4 linked regions of the Rattus norvegicus genome follow. The protein of the gene in region 1 interacts with the protein of each later gene in a pairwise test. Links are inferred from orthologs where the notes say so. Each region holds a gene or a part of one and is shown in the gene's direction. Other genes may lie near its edges.

What was found.
Region 2: the proteins of Ldoc1 (region 1) and Dppa4 interact in binary tests that used the Homo sapiens proteins (3 or more experiments, as listed by UniProt). The two-hybrid records come from large-scale screens. The link is inferred for Rattus norvegicus from reciprocal best matches to the Homo sapiens genes LDOC1 and DPPA4.
Region 3: the proteins of Ldoc1 (region 1) and Fam50b interact in binary tests that used the Homo sapiens proteins (3 or more experiments, as listed by UniProt). The two-hybrid records come from large-scale screens. The link is inferred for Rattus norvegicus from reciprocal best matches to the Homo sapiens genes LDOC1 and FAM50B.
Region 4: the proteins of Ldoc1 (region 1) and Nxf1 interact in binary tests that used the Homo sapiens proteins (3 or more experiments, as listed by UniProt). The two-hybrid records come from large-scale screens. The link is inferred for Rattus norvegicus from reciprocal best matches to the Homo sapiens genes LDOC1 and NXF1.

Annotation. Positions count from the first base shown.
Region 1 is NC_086039.1:145,000,211-145,004,567, forward strand, and holds the start of Ldoc1 (protein LDOC1 precursor), read left to right. Parts: upstream 1-1,556; 5' UTR 1,557-1,632; intron 1,633-4,357. UniProt on the Homo sapiens protein: May have an important role in the development and/or progression of some cancers.
Region 2 is NC_086029.1:66,038,921-66,043,223, reverse strand, and holds the start of Dppa4 (developmental pluripotency-associated protein 4), read left to right. Parts: upstream 1-1,469; 5' UTR 1,470-1,538; coding exon 1,539-1,562; intron 1,563-3,754; coding exon 3,755-3,872; intron 3,873-4,303. UniProt on the Homo sapiens protein: May be involved in the maintenance of active epigenetic status of target genes. May inhibit differentiation of embryonic cells into a primitive ectoderm lineage.
Region 3 is NC_086035.1:30,391,352-30,395,587, reverse strand, and holds the start of Fam50b (protein FAM50B), read left to right. Parts: upstream 1-1,402; 5' UTR 1,403-1,549; intron 1,550-4,236.
Region 4 is NC_086019.1:215,083,278-215,087,396, forward strand, and holds the start of Nxf1 (nuclear RNA export factor 1), read left to right. Parts: upstream 1-1,285; 5' UTR 1,286-1,353; coding exon 1,354-1,381; intron 1,382-4,119.

The DNA of each region.
Region 1 (4,357 bases):
ACAGAAAATGTGGTACATCTACACAATGGAATATTACTCAGCTATCAAAAACAACGAGTTCATGAAATTCGTAGGCAAATGGTTGGAACTGGAAAATATCATCCTGAGTGAGCTAACCCAGTCACAGAAAGACATTCATGGTATGCACTCATTGATAAGTGGCTATTAGCCCAAATGCTTGAATTACCCTAGATCCCTAGAACAAACGAAACTCAAGACGGATGATCAAAATGTGAATGCTTCACTCCTTCTTTAAATGAGGAAAAAGAATACCCTTGGCAGGGAAGGGGGAGGCAAAGATTAAAACAGAGACTGAAGCAACACCCATTCAGAGCCTGCCCCACATGTGGCCCATACATATACAGCCACCCAATTAGACAAGATGGATGAAGCAAAGAAGTGCAGACCGACAGGAGCCGGATGTAGATCGCTCCTGAGAGACACAGCCAGAATACAGCAAATATAGAGGCAAATGCCAGCAGCAAACCACTGAACTGAGAATAGGTCCCCTGTTGAAGGAATCAGAGAAAGAACTGGAAGAGCTTGAAGAGGCTCGAGACCCCAAAAGTACAACAATGCCAAGCAACCAGAGCTTCCAGGGACTAAGCCACTACCTAAAGACTATACATGGACTGACCCTGGACTCTGACCCCATAGGTAGCAATGAATATCCTAGTAAGAGCACCAGTAGAAGGGGAAGCCCTGGGTCCTGCTAAGACTGAACCCCCAGTGAACTAGTCTATGGGGGGAGGGCGGCAATGGGGGGAGGGTTGGGAGGGGAACACCCATAAGGAAGGGGAGGGGGGAGGGGGATGTTTGCCCGGAAACCGGGAAAGGGAATAACACTCGAAATGTATATAAGAAATACTCAAGTTAATAAAAAAAAAAGAAATGAACAATAATTTGATTGCATAGCTTGATAGTAAAACAATTTTATTGTGCTGTTAGCCAAAATATTTACCTACAGTAAACATATAGTTAACATTTCCAACAAATTTACAAAATTATACAATGAGAAGTTAACCTCAACTTTAGAGTATTTTCATTTCTCTAATAATCACGTTGCCCTTCGGTTCTAATTCCATTTATTGTTTTTTGTTGTAGGATACGGAGCTGATATTATCTCTTCTAGTTTCTCTTGCTATTCATAGAGAGTGTAAACTATATCTTTATCTGTTAATCTGCTTGAAACTGAGCTACAAGTGGATAAAGGTCCTCAGCATAAAACCTGATAGTCTGAATCTGGTAGAGGAAAATATTTGGATTATACTTGAATTTACTGACACAGGAATGCATTTTCCCCAGTAGTTAATACATTAAATCCAATTAATACATGGTAACTCATGAACTAGACCGCTTCTGTAAAACAAAAGACACTACACTATCACTTAAGTAACGAGGCAGCCTTTAGAATGGGAAAAACTTTAACAATTATGTATGTGGGATGATGTCACTGGTGAGGCAGGTACAAGATAGAATGAGGCCTGTCATTGGACGAAAAGGAAGGATGGGCGGGAGAAAGTTTTGAAGGAAGAGGAGGAGACAGAAACGGAAGAGGGGAGGAGAGAGGAGCGAAGCCGCGGCAGAACAATTTGGAAGCCTGTGTTTAGATTCCACGCTGTACCTCAGCAGGTTATATATGTTCTTAAGGGATGGATGTGTAATGGGCTTTGTATGTTTAGGTGGGCAATTGTATTTTATCAATTGGATCAAAAATTATTGTGTTGTATCATCTTTCATGTGTAGATTTAAATGTAAGGAAGTGTGGGGCGGCTTGTCTGGGTCGACATGGAGTTGGGATGTGTGTTTCTGGCATGGAAACCTGCCTTGGGACCTAGATAGGTAGAGAGATTTCTTCCAGGCTCAGAGAGGCCTTCGGCAGTGTGATATGGGATGCAGCAGAGCAGGTGAGACGCTTTGCTGACTGAGTTTGGGATATCTATCAGATATCTTGGGGGTACTGTGGTGCCGGACCTAGAGAGGGTATAAGACAGCATTTTATTTTTATAATTTTCAACAACATATATATCTGACACGTTAATATTTAGAGTAAACAAGGAACTACACATCAAGAAAACAAACAATGTAAGTAAAAAATGGGGCGTAAAATTAAACAAAGAGCTCTCAAAAGATGAAATGAATATGACGGAGACATTTTGTTAAATGGTCAACATCCTTAGCCATTAGGGAAATGCAAAGTAAAACTACTTTCAAATTTCCTCTTACTTCAGTCAAAATGACTAAGATACAAATAGCAAGTGATGACAAATACTTGTAGGGATTTGGGGAAAGGAAGCACTTGTTCACTACTTGTTGAAGTTATTCATCAGTGTGTTCACTGTGGAATTAGTGTAGAGTTCCTCAAAACACTGGAAATTAATCTACTGCTTGGGCATATACCAAAAGAACCCTATATCTTACTAAAGAGACACTGTCTCATTCATGTTCAATGCTTCTGTATTTATGATAACCAGAAATGGAAACTCCCAGATGTCCATCAACCAATGAATGGATGGTAAAAATATAATACATTTATACAATGCAATACCATTCACCCATTGAATACTAAAGTTGAATTTTTCAGGTAAATGCATGTATTTGAAAACAATCATTCTGAATGATGTAAAACAGACACCCTCCTCCCCAAAGGACAAATGTTGATTGCTTTTACTTGTTGCAGATGCTAGTTTTGCATCTTCAGATTTGTGTATTTATTTTGAAATGCCCATGGAAGTCAGGAAACTAGTAAGGACATATGGTGGGGCATAGGATGCTTTTAAGGGACCAATTAAATGATGCAATCATTTAAAGGGAGAAAAGGGAATAGTGAAATAGGAGGAATGAATAAGGTGGGAGATGGGTAAACTGGTTAGAAGAATATATACATAGAACAATAACAAAAGATCTATGTACAAAGTCATATGGAAACCTATTCCCACATATATTGGAGCTGTTAGCCAGTGAAGTCCCATAGACCTCCAACTATTAAATGCTATTGATATTGCTCTTGGTTATCCTCCAGAACTTGACAGTAAGACCTTATTTCTGATGACACCGCATACTTGAGTCATAGAACAGAAAGAAGTCAAACTGGTATCCATCTGATAGCTTCATTCTTACTGGATAAATTCCATGTTGCTGAAAGGTGCTATGTACGTTAACAGAATGGAAAAATAATCAGTAACTAACTCAGTTGTACAATGGTGGCATGGATATTTTAAATGTAGTAAACTATTTTTTTTCATTTAAGGCCTGTTCCACAAGATGAAACACATAACTAGCACAATTATTGAGGGCAAGAACTTTTGATCAGGTAATTCATAGTCCCTAGGGAAGAATTTGCTATTATTATTCTGCTAAATGGACACAGTGTTAGTATAAAACTTAGCACTATGCTAGTAGATTTGTGGGTAGTTCAACCCTCATCACCGTCATCGGAGTAGCTTCTTTTTGAAGTAAATGGTGCTAACATAAAGAACTAAAAGCAGCTCCGGTGCACTAGAGTAATAAACTACAGAATTCTCAGCCCAAATATGATAAGTGAATCATACCTCTTCACCCAAGTCAGGGATTATTGCAGAAGAAGGAGTGAAAAAGAATGTTAGAGCTTGTCAATGTGGATAAGGACAAAGAAACAGTACTTTCTGGGAACAACTATGTGGTTTCACATGAAACCCACAGTCACTGAATGTATACAACCCGTGTAAGTTCAAGCCCAACAGAATTTCACCACGGGGAGAAGAGGTGGGTATATTTCACATCTATGTGAAGACGATTGTCAGTTGATGGCTTCTAAAAAAGGAAGCATCAGTTTTGCTTAAGGGTGTGGCTTAAAGTCTAATGGATGACCCTATACCCAAGAATATAAAGATAACCCAAAGCAGACTGGATGAGTTAAAAACAAAACACAAAACCCCAAACACAAAACCAAACCAAAACCCCACAAAGTTCGGTGGGCAGGACAAAGGGCATGAATCTGGATGGTTTTAGAAGAGACAGTGGTGAATATGCTCAACTTGTATGAACTTAAATAACTAACAAAAGTACTTTAAAAGAAAATGGACATATACAGTATGATGGTATTTTTTTTTCCTGCCATTTTCAGTTTGTATAATTTTCCATTCCAGCATCAGTGTGTTAATGCCAATTCTGTGTGCCCTTACTGGCACGTGACATTTTCACATTTTCCTTACTATTTTCTTGTTTATCTGGCAGGGCTGTATCTCGAAGTTTCACCCTCTTTTTTCCTAGAACTTCATGATATTCTGCATCTTCACCAGTGATTTCTATTGGTGCATTTTCTCTTTGGAAATGTTGGTTCACATATTTTTTCATGTTAAATTCTATTTTCTCATTA
Region 2 (4,303 bases), on another chromosome or scaffold:
TTTGTTTGGTTGTTTGGTTTTGTTGATCGGTTTGGTTTTTGATTGTTTGTTTTTGTGGGAGATGGTGGTGCTGAGGGCATCCTCTGACATCATAATAGAGAGTCAAGCTTAATGTTCACTTACTGGGCAAGCAAGTTACCAGTATAGTTTCCCACAAATCATCATCATTTGCAAAACAGTGACTGAATTTTACTGCCAGAATTCACTACATATTCAGTAGACTTTAAAAACTTTTTATTGGGAAAAAAAAAAAAAAAGTCTGCTGGCAGTACATGCCTTTAGTCCCAGCTCTCTAGAGGCAGAGGCGAGAGGATCTATGTGAATTCAAAGCCAGCCTGGTCCAGGTCCAGGATAGCAGGCTACACAGAGAAACCAACTAGCACCAACAAAACCTTTTAACAGTTGGCAGATAGAAAGTTAAGGTTTGAAGCCAGGCTTGGTGGCCAGAGTTCCAATCCTGAGGAGGCTAGAAGATCAGAAACTCAAGCCCAGGCCCAGCGTGAGGGGGCACACCTTGAATCTTAGCAGTCAGGAGTCAGAGACAGGAAAATCTCAGAGTGCTCTGGGTCCCTAGGGACTTCTATTATGGAGAACTTAAAAAAAAAAAAAAAAAAAAAAAAAAGGAGGGTTGGATGGGGAGGATTTACAAAAGTTGTAATTTTGTGGGCTGGGATTGTAGCTCAGTGGTAGACTGATTAGTATGCAGAAACAAAGTCCTGCGAGAGCCCAAAACCACAGAAACAATACAACCCCCCTGTGGTCTTATAGTAAAAGAATTCTGGAGTCACAAGAAATGGGTTGTTTTCATTCCTGTCCAGGTTGCTAATTCCATTAGGTAAATTTGCAATCTGCTTATACAGCTTGTTCAGAATTCTCTAGGAACTTCACTTTCCCTTAGCAATATTTAGAGGTTCCTTCCTTCCTTCCTTCCTCCCTCGATCCCTCCCCCCCTCCCTCCTTTCCTATTTTTTTTTTTTTTTTTTTTGGTTCTTTTTTTTTTCGGAGCTGGGTTTTGTTTTTTTTTAAAGACAGAATCCCACCATGTAGGCCAGGCTGGCCAGAAAACTCAGAGAGATCCACCTGCCTCTGCCTCTCGAATGCTGGGATTAAAGGCATTCGCCACCACGCCCAGCAATAGTTACAGTTTAAAATTTCCCAGATTTACAGTTGCCAGGAGTAGGGCGTGGCAGCTCGCTCCTTTAAATCTCTGTATTCCCGAGTCCCAGACAGTACAATAAACATAGGTATATAAAGCATTTCAGGCCAGGCAACCCTGCCTCCAAAAAGAAAAAGAAAAAAAGAAATTCAGAGGAAAAAAGCAAAAATAATCAAACCACACAATAGCGGCTTTATTAAAATTAGCCACAAACCAGACTTTAGCATCACAATTTTGTTGGGGGTGGGACCAGGAGGGGAGGGGAACGGAAGAGGGCCTCAAGACAACAGGAAGTAGGAGGAGACTTTTAAAAGCCGAAGGAGGCCATAGGTCATTTGGAAGCTAGGAGAACTTTCTTTCGGAGGTCTCATCTAAATTCAAGATGGAGCCGTCTGGAAGCAAGAAGGTGAGACCTGTTTTTACAAGTCGGCTTTCCAAACTAGTCAGTCTAGGGCCTCTTTTTTGGAGTATACCCAGCCTTGTTTGGGGAAGAAAAGAAGGAGCGTTACAATTTGTTACACTTTAATTTTTTTTTTTTAAGGTAGGTAGGTGTGTGGCTCCGCCCGCCCTCTCTGACGTGGCCTTGCACGAGGCCCGCGGGCCTGGTTGTAGATGTGTTAGGAGAGGAGGTTGTGATTTGCCAGAAAGGAATTTAGAATGCGGTAGCTGGAGGGAAATGGTCACAGGATAAAACAGGATATGAACCGAGCCTCGGAAGGAACTGGAGTCCCCAATGGCCGGGAGAAGACCTGAGGGCTTAACTCAGAAATGCCTGTTACCTGGCTTCTAGGCCTTTTGTTTATATCCAAAGGTCCTCAGAGTTGAGGAGGTTTGAGAAGACAGACCTGACTGACAGGCTCTGCTGGTTCCTAACTAACTGTAGTAGCCAGAATCCTGAGCACTTTCCAGGGCTCCTTCCAGCCGTTTCCAGCTTTCTCTAGTGTACAAATTTTGTTAGGTCCAAAAGTGAGTAGTTTATAAAGAGGCGAATATAAGTCTTATTGTCCTTCTGAAGCTAGTTCCTGTTGTGATATAAAAAAGTACCGAGGTGTCTAGTAACAGGCAAATGTTAATTTGTCACTTACTCCCACTCTTGCGGGGGCGGGGGGTGGGAAGGTGGGGGTTGGAAAAGATCTGGGTTTTCCAGCGAAGTGACCTAGTGTTTTTACTTATTTATTTAATGAGTTTTTGTTTTGTTTTGTTTTGTTTTTTGTTTTTTGGGAGACAGGATTTCTCTGTAGCCCTGGGTGGCCTGGGACTTGTCCTGTGAACCGGGCTGGTTTTCCTCCCCAATGCCACCTCTCCTGGCTTTTTTGTTTGATTTTGTTTCTTTCTGAAACAAGGTTTCTCTGTAGCCCTGGCTGTCCTGTAAGTCACTCTTGTAGACCACGCTGGCCTCGAACTCGGATAAAGGCATGTGCCATGACCACCCAGCTTAATAAGCTTTAAACTTTTGGTCCTGAAAATACAGTAGTAGTTAGGAAATTATATAAAGGGAAGGAGTGTGTTTAGTCTTGTATCTTCTAGAAGAGGCCTAATACTTGTTAGGTTTTTTTGCCTGTTTGTTTTTTCTGTGCTTAGGGATCGTTTCTAGTTTTGTTGTTGTTGCTTTTGTTTTGTTTTTGTAATCTCTGTTCCCTTAATTAAGCAGAATATTTATTATCCATTGCCCGCAATAAAAGGGGAAGGGGCTCCACTCTTGTGGAGTTTAAAATCAGATGGAATCAATTGACAAGTGGAAATGAGGTAATATGTGGTAGATTTTATAGAGATTTGGCAAAATAACCTTTGAATTAAGACTTGGATGGGAGTCAGGTATAAGAACTGAAGAAGAGATCGGTCGGTGTTAACATGTCACCAGGCTGTTGTCACAATTGGAAAGTGTCCCTAGGCCATGTCTGAGAGGCTCTGAAGGGAAGTCAGCCATGGAAGTGGTACAATGTCTTTGGTACATCACCCTGGCTACAAAGTCTTTGGGTGAGCCTAGAACCAAGGACTGGGGGAAAATATTTGGGATATGAGAAGATAGAGTAAGGTTTTCTTCCCCAAAGAGGGAACTACTCTTGGGTAGTTTTCATTATCTTCTGTTGCTTTGTTCATAGCTATTTCATTTGTTTTATCCTGTAGCCAAAGGTTGGCCCTTGGTGACCCCCACCCCCCCACACCTGCATTCACTGCCTAGGTGCTAAGATTACAGCTACTGCAATGTTTTTCTTCCTTCCTTTAAGATAGTCCCACAGTGGGTGGGTCTAAGAAGAAGACTGGGGTACTTCTGTGTTCCAGGACAGCCAGGGAGGCTATGTAGAGAAAAACCCTACAAGCCTGGGCTGGCCTGGCCCTGATTTTAGCCACTACTAGGGTTACAGTCATGTGGCGCTAAGCCTGCTTTTCGTTTTGACTCCCTCTCTTTCCCTGACCATTGCTTCCCTACTTTATAACTCAGGTTGGTTATTCAAATGATGTCCCATGAGAATGCACACTGGTAAACACGTGCGCTGACCTCCTGGGGACCTTAGATATGAGTTAGTTTAGAGCAAGTGAAGGGCTATGCTGTCTCAGGACATCAGGCAACTCTGTAACCCACTCCCCTGTCCACAGGGGCGTGCAGAGGAGCCAAGGGAAGAAGTGGAATGCCAGATGTCTAGCCAACCGAGCACGTCTTCTGCAAAGACTAAAGCAACGGGGAAGAAACAAAGAAAGTCAGAGAAAGATGACGGTAAGTCTGGAGATGCTCAAGTCTTAATCGTCTAAGAAACTTAAGTTTCCCTTAAGTGTAAAAACAGGGGTTGGGGACGAGAGTAATTTCTGCTTTTTGCTAGCTCTGCACTTCGTCTGAGATCTAGCTAGGTTCTTACCTCATTAAAAACAAACAATTAAACAACAACAGAACACAGTCAAGTGAGGTGCTTCCTGCTGCCACAGCCAGTTCTTACCATTATTAAACTCCCGTGACGTACTTACCTCGGGTAGTCCCTGTGCTTTGAGGCTAATAGGCAACGAGAACAGTTTGCACTTGTTATCCTAAAACTAAGTGGGGATGACCCCAGTCTTGAGAAGAGCTGTGCGTGTGTGCGCGCGTGCGTGGCGGGAGGGGTGGTATCTGCATAAGCTCTAGCGGTGCTTACTATCTCTACAGTCTGTCTGTCT
Region 3 (4,236 bases), on another chromosome or scaffold:
TTACGAGTGGATAAAGTCTAATTGGGATTGATCCTATACGATAATGCTTCGATGGAATTGCATCTGCTTCCCCACAAGCCGGGGTCTGTAGTCTCTCAATAGTAAGACCCCTCCCCAGGATGGCAGTGTAACACTAAAAGGCCATGGGCCATCTATCCATGTCTTGTGATGAACTTAAAATTTGATTTGTGAAAACATACTCTTGCCTGAATCCTAACCCTGTCCAAACCAAAGGGGCAAGAAAGTCTCAGCTTGCAAGTGTTCAGATGGAAAACAAACAAAACAACCCTGGGGCTTAAAATACTCCTGTGACCTCCTTAAACAGTAAGTGTGTTTTACTGTCAGTAGGCGAACCCAGCATAGACCCTTAGACCTCAGGCAATACGACGTCTACTCTGTCACACCGAACTCTAATCGCCAGGTGCAGAAGGTCAGAGCCCTGGTGATTTGTGATGATCGAACTTCGATGCATTGGTTCTAAATGGGGAACTGAAAATGAAACTGTGTCAGGGAATATCTTTACCATGACACCTAGAGTTGCTGATATTAACAGTATCTCAGAATCATGCAGTCAAATGGTACAATGTTTATTGTGCCTGCAACCTATAAAACATTTAGGACCTAGAGCAGGAAAAACGGAGGTGCTGTCATAGCAATGAGCTAGGTGACCTAGCAAAACCCCATCTGTTTATGAGGAATAATCCCCATTCATCTGTGATGAATAAATTATTGTCAACTTGATTGGGTTGAGAAGCACCTGGGAGATTACAAAGCCTACCTCTGGGTGTGACTATGAGGGCATTTCCCAGAGAGGATTAATTTATGTCAGAGGGGGAACTGCCCTGACCTACAGGCTGGAGAACCTAGAGGGAATTAAAAGGAATAGGGCAGGAGACTGATCACAGTGTAGGCCTTCCCTCTCTGCTTCCTCACCGCCCTAATGGGACCTGTTCAGCTTCACCTTAACCTACCTGCCTTAATGGGCAGACCTCTGAACCTGTGGGCTCAATAAATCTTTCCTCCTTTGAAGTAATTTATGCCAGTCATTCTGGGATGAAAAATTAACTCACCGTTCTTATCTAGTCACCCTGCAGTCCTGCTAAATAGATCCCTGGTCTGTGAAACTCTTGCACAGAGAAATTGCTGAATCCCAGCAAAAATGTGCACTTTGCCAAAGGCCCTCGGGCAATATTTGAAATGCAGTCAACTCTTAGCTGCAAACCCTGGGAACATGGTGACTGTGGTTGGTGATCATAGGGATAATTTCAGGATTACAAAATGTAAGAAGCAGCTTCTGTTGCTTAGTTTTTCATCAGTGTGTCCCAATAGCAGCAACAAAGGGATGGGAGAACTCCTTTCGGTTCACAGTTTCAAATTCAGTCCATGCTCACTTGGTCTCACTTGCTTGAAAAGGACATCATGGCAATGGGAGCATGTGGTAAAGAAAGCTATTCCCTTCATGGCCGGCCAGAAGGCAGAGCAAAACTGGAGAGGGGTGGATATAACATACCCACTAAGGAACCAACCCCAGTTACCCTACTTCCTCCAGGTAGGCCATATCTACTAATGTTTCTCACAAATGGAAACCGAACTTTCAATATACACGTCTGTGGGAGCACTTCTTCATGTCACCTGTTTAGAATTTCAGGATCCTTAGCATCACAGTTCTGTCAGGGAGGCCAAGGTGTGTGATCACTTAAAGCACATAGGCCAGTCCTACCTAACCCATGGGTGACTAGAGATAATCCTTTGGCTTGGCAGAAATTCTAGTTAATTCTTGTTACATTACAATACAGTAAAACACAGCTCTATTTCAATAAACTCTGAAACTCAGACATCTTATGAGTAGTGTGTGGAAGAATGGTCTTCCTGTGTCAGAATGGGCACCTCTGCTTGTCTTAGGGAAGCATTTGGGGAGATAGGTGTCATCCCCATTGACATCAATGGTATAACTATGTCTCAGCATACACCATGGATGGGGGCAAGCACCCTGGCTGATACTGCCCATTTGTCTTCCTGTAGTCTCTGAGATTATCAATGTTCTACTGGGTAAATTTTCTTCTGTTGGCACTATAAATTCACATCACACTGAGAAAATACTATTTTTAGAAATTTTAGCTACAGAACTGGAGTTGTAGATTAGTGGTCTAGACATTGCCTTCCTTGAGTAATGGTCAGGGTTTCGTCCCTAGTACTGAAAGAGAGAAGACAGTAAGGAGAGAAAGGGGGAGGAGAGCAGAGGAAGAAAGAAAAATGGGGAAGGAAGAAAGGAAGGGAGAGAAGGAGAAAGGGAGGAACATTAATTATGGTTACTTAAAATTGCCCATCTTGGGCTGGAGAAATGGCTCAGCAGTTAAGAGCACTGGCTGCTCTTCCAGAGGTCCTGAGTTCATTCCCAGCAACCACATGGTGGCTCACAACCACCTGTAATGAGATCTGATGCCCTCTTCTCGTGTGCAGCTGCACACGCAGATAGAACACTCATAGATATTAATAAATAAATATTTTTTAAATTGCCAATGTTAAAGGAAGTTCAGTATTTAGATGGGAATTTCAAAACAACTCTAAAATAGCTTGAAGCAAACCATAAATCTAAGTGGAGAACTATAAAACTTTTAGATGAAATCATAAGAAACCAATTTTATGACCTTGGTTTAAATACCAAAAGCATGGTCCATAAATAGACAACTGATAAGCTGGACTTTGTCAAGATTAAGACTTTTTCCTCTAAAATTGACACCTACAAGCCTAAAAGAAAGGTTAGAAAACCTTGTAGGCCATATGCCACGTGAAAGAATTACACTCAGACTGCAATAGGAACTCTCAACACTATCAAGTAGAACGGTAAAACACCATGCAGTTAAAAAACTATAAACTGTCAATTTTCAGAAATTTCCATTTCATATTTTCTGGACTGTTGAGTCCACGTAACTTATCTTTTTTATTAAAAAATTTATGTAGAGAGCTTTGCCTATGTACATACCTACAAGTGCCTGTAGAGGCCAGAGAGGTGTTGACTCCCCTGGAACTGGAGTTAGAGATGGTTGTGAGCTGCTCTGTGGGTGCTGGGAATGGAGCCCAGGTCCTCTGCAAAAGCATTAAGTGCTCTTAACCACTGAGCTATCTGTCCAGCTCCTGGGTGCATTTAATTGAAACTGAAAGGCAAAACCCAGGATGAGAGAGAATGGCTGTGCCTGATTGTGCACATGTCAAATCCATAGCATTGCACACCAGAAAGAGGTCATCTTACTGTAGTAAATTTTTAAGAATTGTTGTTCTGGGCTTCCGTATGTGTGTTTAGGTGGGTGGGGGATCCCACGTGCTTGCCACAACAGTCATGTGGAGGTCTGAGGGCAATCCTAGGGGCTAGGCTTTGCTTTCCACCTTGAGCCAGAATCTTTCTTCTTGTTTCTACAGCTGCATTGGCTGCAAACATCAGGTGAGCTGGCCTGCAAGCTTCACCGGTGGAGGAAGGGGGCTGTCTGTCTCTGCTTCCCTTCTCGCTGCAGGAATGCTGGGTTAGAGACCTGTGCCATTCTGTCTGGCTTTTGACGTGAGAATACAAACTTGGGTCACCAGATCTTCACCTGCTGAGCCATCTCCCCTGCCTTCACTATACTTAACTTTTTTTTTAATTTTATTTTATTTATTTATTTTTATTATTAACTTGAGTATTTCTTATATACATTTTGAGTGTTATTCCCTTTCCCAGTTTCCGGGCAAACATCCCCCTCCCCCCTCCCCTTTCTTATCGGTGTTCCCCTCCCCACCCTCCCCCCATTGTCCCCCTCCCCCCAACAGTCTAGTTCACTGGGGGTTCAGTCTTAGCAGGACCCAGGGCTTCCCCTTCCACTGGTGCTCTTACTAGGATATTCATTGCTACCTATGGGGTCAGAGTCCAGGGTCAGTCCATGTATAGTCTTTAGGTAGTGGCTTAGTCCCTGGAAGCTCTGGTTGCTTGGCATTGTTGTACATATGGGGTCTCGAGCCCCTTCAAGCTCTTCCAGTTCTTTCTCTGATTCCTTCAACGGGGGTCCTATTCTCAGTTCAGTGGTTTGCTGCTGGAATTCGCCTCTGTATTTGCTGTATTCTGGCTGTGTCTCTTAGGAGCGATCTACATCCGGCTCCTGTCGGTCTGCACTTCTTTGCTTCATCCATCTTGTCTAATTGGATGGCTGTATATGCATGGGCCACATGTGGGGCAGACTCTGAATGGGTGTTCCTTCAGTCTCTGTT
Region 4 (4,119 bases), on another chromosome or scaffold:
TTACTAGAAGAGCTCTTGGGTTTGCCATCTAAAAATTTCAACCAGCACTTGGGAGTTAGAAGCAAGTGGATCTCTTTTATTATTATTATTATTATTATTTTTTTTTTTTTTTTTTTATTCCGGAGCTGGGGACTGAACCCAGGGCCTTGTGCTTGCTAGGCAAGCGCTCTACCACTGAGCTAAATCCCCAACCTCGCAAGTGGATCTCTTGAGTTTGAGGCCAACTTGGTCTACAAAGCAAGTTTCAGGACAGCCAGAATTATACAGAAACCCTGTCTCAAACAAAACCACTCAATACTAGCAACTTTCCCTACCTACCTAGCTAACCTGGGTTTTACCAATTAGGCTTCAGCATGATGGCCAGGGCCTTGGGGGTGAAGATCATAGCTCACTAGATTACTAATTTTGTTTTGAGACCGTCTATGTAGCCTTCGCTATCTCTGTACTGGCTATGTCGACAAAAATACTGGTACTAAGACTAAAGCTTTTTTTTTTTTTTTTTTTTTGAGGCAGGGCCTCTACAAGCTCTGGCTATTCTAGAAATTTCTATAGAGCTGAGACTGGCCTCAAATTTAAAGATCCACCTGCCTCTGCCTTCCAAATACGGGTTTAAAGACCTGCGCCACTACAGCTCGCCTGACGCTTTAATTAGGCAATTTGTAGAAGACCTACAAGGGAACAGGACAGGATTTCGCTTAATTCACACTTGGGTTTCACAATGGGCATGATACTGTGCCAGGCACGCTGGAGGAAGAAAAGTTGCGCATAAGTTAAGGTTCCTGTTCCAGTGGGGCTTACATTCCAATTTTCTATTTCGTCATAATCCGTCGTAGAGGCGAGAAAGGCTGGGAGGGCATAAGCCGGCGGCTGGCAAGGAACTGCGCTGCGACTTACACGCTGCCGGGATCCCACCTGCGTGGACTGTGATCCGTTACTCCCGTTCAGAGGCCAGGTCTCCATTCTTCTGTGTAGCTCTCGTCCCTGCTCCTGAGTTCAGGGCTAAAGCAGACCGCTCAGCTCCAGCGCAAACCTCAGCGCTGCGGGCCAGCGGAGAAGTAGGAAGGCGGGGCCGACCTACAAGCCATCGCGCCCCGAGCTCCGGCCGTGGGCGGGCCTCGGAGGGCCTGGCCACGCCTCCGAGCGGCCGCCCTGCTTCTGCGCAGGCTCAGAGAGCGCGTTCCTGCCCCGCGGCACCGCCCACATCCTGGGGACGTCGGCTGCGCGCGACGTGCTTCGCCGGATAAATGCGGTGGCGCCGGTCGTAGGAGAGCTTCTGTCCTGAGCGCCAAGGCGTCCGGGTGTTTGGTGGCGTCAGGTTCTGCGCCTGAGCCCGCCCCTGTACCTGCCTGTGCCATGGCGGACGAAGGGAAGTCATACAACGGTTAGTGCGGGGCCTCGGGCCGGGAGGCGACGCGGTGGGTCAGGGTGGGCGGCCCCGGCCTAGGCCTCAGCCCGGGGGCGGGAGGCCGCGAGGAGCCCTACGTCCGTAGGTAGCGGTGGCCGCGCGGGCAGGGGGCGCGGGACGCCGCGGGACCCGGGGACTCCAGAGTCGCCCGGATTCTGGCGTTGGAGGACCTGTGGCTCAGGGGTGAGGTGACAAGATTTCCTTTCAACTTTGAGGGTGGTTGATGCCTGTCAGTTCAGTTTGGCAGCCGGACTCTTCCTTTAAATGTGAGTCAGTAGTCAGGCTACCCTGGTGCCCTATTTTTTTTTTTTTTTTAAATACGATCAGTCTGTTCTTGCAGCTTGCTGCTTATTGTTTACCCAGTTTTCTAGCCCGCACACCTACCCTGACTTGTTAATTCATTGTGGTGGTTAGGACAGTATGACAGCTGAGGTTTGAATCTGAAGTTGGCTGTGCTAACCCCGAGTGAGTTAAACTTTGAGGCCTTGTTTTCCATCTCTTTCATGTGGGTACTTGTCTCCCGTGTCCCGTGTGTGTGTGTGTGTGTGTGTGTGTGTGTGTGTGTGTGTGTGTGTGTGTGTGTGTGTGAGAGAGAGAGAGAGAGAGAGAGAGAGAGAGAGAGAGAGAGAGAGAGATCATTTTATTAAGTGCCTCAAACACAGTGACTGGAGTGGGGATTTTTCAGTGAACCGTACTTGGACTGTCTCTTTAATGTATTCCTTTTTACTAGGGTCACTTGATATTAGGTATTAGATACTAGAAATTAGGTAGATTTCTTTGAAAGTTATGAATCTTTTTTTGTGCTTGTGTGGTGCTGATGACTTATCTATGCCTGAAAAATCTCTACCCAATGACCTTTTATTTTAATTCAAATATAATTGATCTCCTTCCTCCAGCCACTCACCTGTCATCCACTCCTCTCGCCAAATTCATGCAACTTGCTGAGTTCATTTAGTGTTATGTATTAGTTTGTAAAGCATACCATTTGGGATTGGCTAGCCATTTGGGGAGTTTGTCCCTTGGAAAGGCTAATTCTCCCTTATAGGGTCAGCCCAGGCTGGCTTCAGTCAGTCTTACTGTGTCAGCTTCCCAAGCTCAGCATTGCAGGCAGGCATGTGCCACCCACCATGCCTGCCTCACAGATGTTTACGGTTTACTTTTTTTTTTTTTTTTTTTTTTTTTTTGGTTCTAGGGTTGAACTTAAGGTCTGACAAAAGGTAAATAAATAGAACCAAGTGTAGTAGTACATTGTTTAAGGTAAGAGGATCAGAGAGGTTCAAGGTCATCCTCCACTACATACATAGTGTGCCCGGCTTTCTGTTCTCCCACAGAGCTATATTCCCATCCCTTGTTATTTTTTTGAGATGGTTTGCCAAGTTGCCCAGACTGACTTGAAGTTTTGAATTCTGCCTCAGCCTCAGTCTGGGTGATCTTTTTGAGTGTGGAAGGATAGACAAGCACTTTATCAACTAATCAGTATCCTTAGCCCTCCTTTTATTCGTTTTGTCTATATATAGGCAGACCAAACACTAAGAGAAACAGGGTTTCAATCCCAGTCTGGCCTTAAACTCTGTGTAGCTCAGATCCTCTTCCCTTAAACGGTGTACTACTACACTTGGTTCTATTTATTTATTTATTTATGTATTTGTTTACTGAAACAGTGTCTCAAAGTGTAGTTCTGAATGATCTAGAACACACTGAAAAGACCAGGCTGGCTTTCAGAACTCTGCCACTGTCTGGAATTAAGTTGTGGGTCACAATGTTTGGCTTCTTTCCCTTTTTTTTTTTTTTTTTTTTCTTTTTGGTTCTTTTTTTTCGGAGCTGGGGACCGAACCCAGGGCCTTACGCTTCCTAGGTAAGCGCTCTACGACTGAGCTAAATCCCCAGCCCCGCTTCTTTCCCTTTTTAAGGTATACTCTTAGCTGATCTGGAACTTGGATTCCTCCTGCTTCAAACACTAGTTATATTGGAGGACTCTAATGTGGAACCTGCACCAGACCCTGAATCTAGAAGTTCCTTGAGGTGTTTTTTTTTTTCCCCAAAGAAACTAGCATTTCCTAAATTCAGAGTGCAGAAGATGGTAGTTGTTTTTAAGAGACTTTACATCATATTTGTAAGAATTCTTTATTTTTCGAGAATCTCATGTAGCCCAGGATGGCTTTGAAAACTTTGTGTAATTGAAGCCTCCCCTTCCCAATTGCCAGGATTACAGGTGTTGGCCACAACATCTGGCTCTGTAACCATCAATTGTACAGCAAGTGGCAGATTTCACGTGGTTTTTCAGGGGTCTGGTTAGATTTTGGGGTTGCTCACACTTCCACATTCTACTCTCTGTAGGAACTGGTTTCTGGGTATTTTTGTTTTTCTTTTTTCTTTCTTTCTTTTTTTTTTTTCCTTTTCTTTTTTTCAGAACTGGGGACCGAACCCAGGGCCTTGCGCTTGATAGGCAAGCGCTCTACCACTGAGCTAAATCCCCAACCCCTTTTTTCTTTAAATTCTAAATTTTCTGGCAATTTTATACATATAATACACAGTGTATTGTGATTGTGTGCCCCTTTCATTACTCTTTTGTTTTTACTTATTTACTTTGTTTACTTACTTTATTTAATGTATAAGTGCTCTGGTGCATGTACACCTGCATGCCAGAAGGGGGCATCAGATTCCTTTATAGATAATCTTGAACCACTGTGGGATTTGAACTCAGGACCTCTGTA